Rattus norvegicus: one gene and its partner. The protein of the gene in region 1 purifies or fractionates together with the protein of each later gene. This does not show direct contact. Links are inferred from orthologs where the notes say so. Each region holds a gene or a part of one and is shown on either strand. Other genes may lie near its edges. The genes, in order: Tspyl1 and Ddx24.

The links.
Region 2: the proteins of Tspyl1 (region 1) and Ddx24 purify together in Homo sapiens (affinity purification with mass spectrometry; 3 studies listed by BioGRID and IntAct, counting the BioPlex papers as one, with this or other methods). This does not show direct contact. The link is inferred for Rattus norvegicus from reciprocal best matches to the Homo sapiens genes TSPYL1 and DDX24.

Annotation. Positions count from the first base shown.
Region 1 is NC_086038.1:39,635,552-39,639,465, forward strand, and holds the start of Tspyl1 (testis-specific Y-encoded-like protein 1), read left to right. Parts: upstream 1-1,483; 5' UTR 1,484-1,514; coding exon 1,515-2,654; 3' UTR 2,655-3,914.
Region 2 is NC_086024.1:128,344,033-128,347,946, reverse strand, and holds the start of Ddx24 (ATP-dependent RNA helicase DDX24), read left to right. Parts: upstream 1-1,231; 5' UTR 1,232-1,277; exon of another isoform or gene 1,278-1,691; intron 1,692-2,608; 5' UTR 2,609-2,613; coding exon 2,614-3,331; intron 3,332-3,914. UniProt on the Homo sapiens protein: ATP-dependent RNA helicase that plays a role in various aspects of RNA metabolism including pre-mRNA splicing and is thereby involved in different biological processes such as cell cycle regulation or innate immunity.

The DNA of each region.
Region 1 (3,914 bases):
GCCTGGCAAGTATTTAGCAGTGGAAATTCATTTCTCTGCGTGGAAAAAGCAGTGCACTGGGGAGAGGCGGGGGCATGATTTACCCAGAATTTCACGAAAATTGGGTCACAGTTTCAGAAGAGCTGATATAGATATCTGTGTTACTCTCCATCCACACTGACTTTTATGAAGCATGTAATTTTCTAACCATGTTCTTATTGGTGAATTTACCACTGTGTGATAAACACCGCGTCATATAGTTCTTATAATAATCTAAGTCGTTGACCCCTTTGCTATACTAAAATCGCCACCACTACAATAACCTTTATAGTAAAATTGTTAAATTTGCTATTTATGTTTATAGCTGGGTTACATTGTCTATGAACTTTATCGAAAGGAGTTAAACGGCCTTTTGGAAACATTTGTTATTCAGAAGGTGGCATTTGTTCTGATAAATTTGAATTTGGGGACCATGAATAACTACCTTCTTTTTCTCAAAACAGAAAGGAAATAAGTTCTTAAATATTAATTTATTTGTTCATGAGGAAAGGTGATGGGAGAAAATATGTACCAACTTGACATTAGTTATGCGTTAATGCTTATATCTTAAAGTGAAGTCACATCCTGTCCAAAGAGCCTCGGAATCAAATCTCCTGGGCTCAAATCATTGCTCTGTCATTTTTAATGTTATTTTGGTAAGAGACCCAGTTTTTCCTTGTTCAAAAAAAAATCTTAATACATCACAAGATTGTTATAAGAACTATACAGCGTGATGTGTATCACAGTGCACCCGTATAAACAATCGTTAATTATAACCACAAAACATCTCCCCAAAAAAACAGGAATTCTCAAAACCAAACCCACCGAGCTTCGTTCCCAGTAACGTCCGAGGTTAGAATAGAACTGCTTTTTTATTCTTTTTGAGCCAACGTGTATGCAGCCCAGGTTAGCCTCCAAATCAAGGAGCCTCAGCACCGGAGCACCGAGTCGCCAGGCAAGGGCCATCACACCAGGCCAGACTTCATTATTTCTTCAGTTCTGTGAAGGGGTTTGGGGGTGCCTTGGCATTCACCTTGGTTAAAAACAGACATTTTGGCTCCTAGCTTTTTCGAATATCCGGCGGTATTTTTACCTTCTCACGTCAGTGGAAAGTGGATGAACTTGTTTGCTGTGGACAGTAAGCAAAGTAAATGCTGTGCGCACACTCACAAACACACAGACACACAGACACCCAGACACACATGGCGGCAGCCGGGATGCGGGAGACGTTTCCAAAAGCCCCGCCACTGCCTTCAGTCTCCTAGGATAACTGACATTCCTTTACCGAAATAAACGTGACAATCGCAAACCGCTACGTTTACAGAAGCCAAACAAACACGGAAGCCAATCCTCGCTGAGGAACCAATCAGGTGCGCTGCCGGCTCTCGCGGTACTTGCGGCCCTGACGTCACCGCCCTAGAAACAGCGAGGGGCGGAGGTGGGGCTGCGTGGACCCTGAGGGTTTGTAAACTGAGGTCTGTGCGACCGGACCGGACATGAGCGTCCGGGAGCCGGACGAGGGGACCCCTGTGCCCGACCACCGCGGCCTCTGCGATGCTGACACTATCCCGGGGACCCCAGGCTGGCGTCCGCTGCTCGGCGAGAAGGCGGTGACAGGTGAGGGCAGCGCGGGGATCGTGGGGAGCCCAGCGCCCCGGGGTGTCGCGGGCCTTGGCCCCCAGGTGCGGGTGGCCGCAGCTAGGCAAGGAGAGACTCCGCCTGTTGTCGAGGGCCCCGCGGCGGCGGCGTTCGTGGCACCGAAAGATGCGGAGAAGGCCCTAGAAACTCGGGGAGCGGAGGCCCGGGCCCACGACGTGAAGATTGAACGGGCCACCGTCGCGGTGGCAGCGCGAGAGCAGTCAGAAGTGGCGATGCAAGGGAGTGAGGAGGTGATGGAGGTGGAGCAGAAGCCCGCGGGTGAAGAAATGGAGATGCCGGAGGCTAGTGGAGGAGCCAGGGAGGCGCAGGAGGAGGCAGGGCCTTGGCACCTGGGCATCGATCTTCGCACGAACCCGCTGGAGGCCATCCAGCTGGAACTGGACACCGTGAATGCTCAGGCCGACAGGGCCTTCCAACATCTGGAGCAGAAGTTTGGGCGGATGCGGCGACACTATCTGGAGCGAAGGAACTACATCATTCAGAATATCCCAGGCTTCTGGATGACCGCCTTCCGCAACCACCCTCAGTTGTCCGCCATGATTAGGGGTCAGGATGCAGAGATGTTAAGGTACATAACCAATCTGGAGGTGAAGGAACTGAGGCATCCTAAGACTGGCTGCAAATTCAAGTTCTTTTTCCGAAGAAACCCCTACTTCAGAAACAAGCTGATTGTCAAAGAATATGAAGTGAGATCATCCGGCCGAGTGGTGTCTCTTTCCACTCCAATCATATGGCGGAGTGGGCATGAGCCCCAGTCCTTCATTCGCAGAAACCGAGACCTCATCTGCAGCTTCTTCACCTGGTTCTCAGACCACAGCGTTCCAGAATCTGACAGGATCGCCGAGATTATCAAAGAGGACCTGTGGCCAAACCCACTGCAATACTACCTGTCTCGTGAAGGAATCCGTAGACCCCGACGTCGCCCAATAAGGGAACCAGTGGAGATTCCCAGGCCTTTTGGCTTCCAGTCAGGCTAACCTTGCTTTTGAAAATGCAGCTGGCTGGAATAAGTCCCTTCTCGCCTGTGCTTGAGCAAATGCACCGGGTACGCAGTGTTTTGATTTCTTTCCTCCTGACTTTTCAGCATCTTCTGTTTGGATAGTCTCCTCACCTCGAGATTAAGACTGTGGGCATGCTTCTGCCTTCACATGGCTCCCATGCTGTCCTGAATTAGTATCTGCCGGTTCGTGGCCCTGACTTGTACCTTTTCTAAGCTTAACAGTGAAACTTTGTATCGCACTGCCTTTACACTGTGTGGACGCTGTTTTCAGTGTTACCCATTTACTGCCACCTAGATGTCTTGCTTTATCTGGGGGCTCTTCTATTTACCTGTTCAGCACGTGGCAATGTGGGCAAAAAGTTTTCAGACAGTTGCTGGGCCTAAAGGTCATTGCAGGAGTGGGCCACCTTCTGTGTCATTTTGTGACTTTTTCTAGGCTTCATTGTGTTTGCCAGTACTCCTCACCCTCACTCTCCCACCTTTCTCCTGTTATTTTAAAGAAAAGTAGTTCAAAAACACCTGTAAGATCAGGAGTTGTAGTTCATTTATACTCAGCATTTCCTGAGAGGATGCTCTGTAAAAGAGGTCACAGAACTCTGCCTTGTCTCCTCTCTTACCCACTCCTCAGCCTGGTTAGCTAGCAAGTCCTAAAAAGCTTATATGGAGACAGAATACAGAGACAGAATTAGATGGAAACAGGTGAGCTTTTCCTAATAATGTATGGAAGAACTAAAGAGATTGTGATGGGTACCTTAAGCAGGAAAAGTGAGCTGAAAATGAAAAGGCTTAGAGTCAAAGTAAGTCAGATAAAAATTGGGCTGAGGATGAAGACAGGATGAGAGCTTTCATATTTTGGCCAGTCATTGGTGATGGGAAGAGAATTTCTCAGGAAAAATACTTTCTCTGAGTGTTGAATGTTGCCTAGACAACGCTTCTTTAAAGAAGCAGTTCACGTTTGGGTTATTTTTCTCTCTTTATATGTGATCTAATGTAAGTGAAAGGGTAATACTGTGTTCATATTTTACCAACATTTAGTAAAATGCTACTTGTTTCTACTTACTGGAGAAATTTAAACACTTTCATTTGCATTCATTTGAAACCACTTGGAAGAGCAATAGACTTAAGTGAATATTCATAACAGTTTTCAATATTAATCCAAATTCTTAGAAACAGCTTGGATAATTTGGTCTTTATCAAATGTGTCAAGTTATTGACTTATGGAAAAGTAAATATGTGA
Region 2 (3,914 bases), on another chromosome or scaffold:
GAAGTTCTCAGTTTTGATTTTTTTTGGGGGGTGGAGGGGTTGAACAAATACTATTCTACTCTGCTTGAGCACCACATTCCCTGAATGAATCCACTCATTGGCTGATGGCTCTGTTCATTTCTTGGCTATCTTGAAGTGTTTGATGCATGCAGGACTGTGGGTCTCTTTTCGACAGACTTCACTTGTTTTGGATATATTCCTGGTCACAGGCATACATTCTGAGCAGATGGTAGTTCTAGTTTCTCACTCTTCAGGAATTTCCATGATGGCTGTACTTAGTTACATCCCACAACGATGTGCCAGGCTTCGTTCCCTGTCCCAACAGCCCCCTAGCCAACAGTCATGTCCGTCAGCACTGGTCAGCATTCTCACTGCAGTGAGGCCATGTCTACCTGTGGCTCTAGTTTCCATTATCCTATTGACTAGAGGCTCACTGAGCATCTTTTCTTGTACCTTTTGAGAAATGCTTATTTAGGTTTATTGCCCATTTTGTTAAAAGTGTCCTTTTGCTATCGATTTCTGAATGCTTTTTCCTGCCTAGTTAACCACATTCTGATGTGTAGTTTACAGGATTTCCTTCACTCTAAGGTCCCGGAATTTGCTCTCTAGACCAGACTGGCTTCGAACTTAAGTGATCTTCCTGCCTCCCAAGTGCTGGGACTAAAGGCATGTGCCATCACTATCTGGCTCCTATTCTGTTTTCTTATTCTTGTGTATCCTCATAGCCCTTAAGAAACTTGTTAATTTAATCTAATTAATGTTTAAGCCTATTTTGTCCGGGTCTAAAAGTTGCGTTTGAGACAGGCAGTTCCATCTTGACCAGTTCTGTGAGGTAGGAAGGCACTACCGAACCGGAGAACATGGCCCTTCAATACAGGCTTGGGTGGTTTGTAAATTAGATAAAGAAATGTTTTAAGGCTCCAGGTAGTCAGTTACTCAATAACATGCTATTGCACGCAAACCAGACCAAGATTACGCGGACACTTGCGCTCCCTAGTGTCGAGGAAACAGCTCCGAAACACTGCCAAGGCCATAAACAGGAAGCGTATCCTAGGCTACGCAGGGCACCCTAGCCCAGCCCTCCAGGTTCCGGCCCAAGTCCTGTGGGAGTGCCAATCAGATAGACGCTTCCGCACAAAGGCGGGACTTCCTTCTGCAACGCGCACGCGTGCAAGGAGCCCCGCCCCGGAACTGTGCTCCGGAACTGCAGTGCAGGAGCTGCTGCAGTTCCGGGTCGGGTTGGCGCAGGCGGTCTGGCGTGTGAGGATACTGCCGCGGTGAGTGTTCTTTGTGGATCCGGAGCTGGCAGGCCTTGGCTAGCTGCGGATGTCTCCCCATTGTCTCCGAAGCATAGTGACTCACAGGTGTCTCTACAGCCTTGGTTCCCGATGGCTCACGCCTTCTCTTAAGCATCAAGGCCCAGCAACCTCCCTTGAAGTCTCTATCGGCTATAGTGCCCGTGGGACTCTTGGAAGCGGTACAGGTCACTCCCAGCGCCCTATTTCTAGTGACGTTCCCGTTCTCTCGTCAAGGTGGGTCCGAGGTGCGGTGGGGGTCGGGGGTCGCTTTGCGTCCCATACCAGAGACTGCTGGGCGATCCTTGCCTGCGAGTCAACGTGCCTCCACACAGACGCCATGTTAAGTGATTTTTGATGTACGTCACTATTTCGTATTCTTCAATGACAACCCAGGTGGGATAAATATCTCATTATCCTCAAATTGTAGTTAAGGAAACTGAGGCACAGAGATGTTCAGCAAACACTCAGAGTTGGCAAGTCCAGGATCCAGATTTGAATCGAGTTTTACCTAATGCTCTCCACAATATTCTTTTTCATATAAAGAGGGCCAATGTGAAGCCACTTTCACTCAGATGAGTCATGCATAGAGTCATGCATAACTGCCTTCCAGACTTTAAAGACAGGGTCTTGTGTAGCCAAGGCTGGCTTTGAGCTCCTGATCTTCCTACTTCCGTTTCCGAGGGCTGGATACCCACTATATACGGTTTTACACAGTGCTGGGGCTGGAACCTAGACTTCCCGGGTTTTAACCTATCTGGCGAAGGCCAGAATAGAAATGGGACTTCTCTGGTTCTACTAGGGAAGAAAGCACAGTGCACTTGTTTTAAAAAAAAAAAAAAAACCACACTCTCTCAGACTCTTACTCCGTGTTCAAAATGACTTCTGTAGTAACTAACTGGTCAAGCATCAGCCTATCTCTTCTTACTTTCAATTATTTTGTGTACAGTTTAAAATTACATATTATTAGATAGTACCACACCCCTCTCATTTAAAAAGATTATAACACTAAATTCTGAGAGGAGTAGGGAGTGTGGTTGAAGGTTGCAACAAGTTAAGTGTTGGAGCTAGGATCAGAACCAGAGTTAGCTCATGTATCTTTTTACTCTGTTGCCTGCGTCCCATCTGTTCCAAGCCCAACTACCTATTCTGTGAGTGGGTTTCATTTTCTGCATGAGAACATCTTCTCTATGCAGGGTAAACCATCTTCATGTCCTCAACTGTTTGCAGGGTTGAGTACATTTTAGGAAAGTGTGTGTTGCCCTTGAACCTGTGCTCCACAGTCACTAACCCAAAAGAGCATTTCTTTTCAGCAACCATGAAGTTGAAGGAGACAAAATCGAAGCCCAAGTCAGCAAGCCGTGGCACATTTCAGAGGAAGGGCATCAAGGTTGTGGGGAAATGGAAGCAAGTGACGATCGACCCAAATCTGTTTGCAGATGGACAGATGGATGACTTGGTGTGCTTTGAGGAACTGACAGATTACCGCTTAGTCAAGAATCCCTCCCGTTTGTTCTCAGATGAGACGACCAAGAAGAGAAAGGCCCAGGCTGTGTCTGAAGAGGAAGAAGAGGAGGAGGGAGAGTCCAGCTCCCCAAAGAAAAAGATCAAATTGAAGAAGCAGAGAGATGCAATCCTCGTTGCTGAAGGCAGCGCTGCCCAGGATGAATGTGAAGGGAAAGCTTCTGAGCCAGGGGCTCAGGGAGAAATCACTGTGTGTTCTGATCAGAAGGTAGGAGGAGCCACATCGGAAAGCCTGGCACAGACTGTTCCAAGAAAGAAGAAAAACAAAGGGAAAAAAAAATTAGACACTTTTCAGAGCACTGCCCCCAAAGTGCCCAAAAAAGCTAAGACGTGGATGCCTGAGGTGCAAGACCAGAAGGCAGACGTGTCGGCCTGGAGGGACCTGTTTGTACCCAAGGCTGTTCTCCGAGCTCTCAGCTTTCTAGGTTTCTCTGCACCCACCCCAATCCAAGCGCTGACTTTGGCCCCTGCCATCCGTGACAAACTGGACATCCTTGGAGCTGCTGAGACAGGTAAGGGATGCTCTGTCTGCCCTAGGTAGAGCTCCTGGAGCCAGCCTTTGGTTGCTCACAGGCTGGGAAACTAGGAGAGGGGATTGTTGGGAATGTGGCCACAAAAGCCACGGAAGGTGTTAGAACCATTCAGCTCTGGGCTGAAATCTGTCCTGCTTGAATCTGGTACTCCGCTCTGTTTCTGAGGCCCAAGGTGAGATGGAGGTGAGAACACTACTTTGTGTCTGCACAGCTGGACCGCGTCAGATTGAGAGTGTTCTCTCACAACTCTACCGAGAGTTTTTAAAATCAAAAATGCATGTCAGAGTTTTTACACATGTTCATATTGTATGTATTGAGGTATGTAGGTTTTTGGTTTTAGTCTGCTGATAAAGCAAATTACATTGATTTCCAAAAGTGAGAACCAGACTTTCCTCACACATAGTGAGCTTGTCACAGTGTGTTTATACATCACTGGCTTTGGTCAAGTGCGGCTGTGGCATTAGAATAGTCATCTGTAGTTTTCTTGTAGTGTTGGCATTAAACTGGTCTCATTAACTTGAAGTGTTGTCGTTTCAGTTATCAGAGTGGGTTTAAATAATTG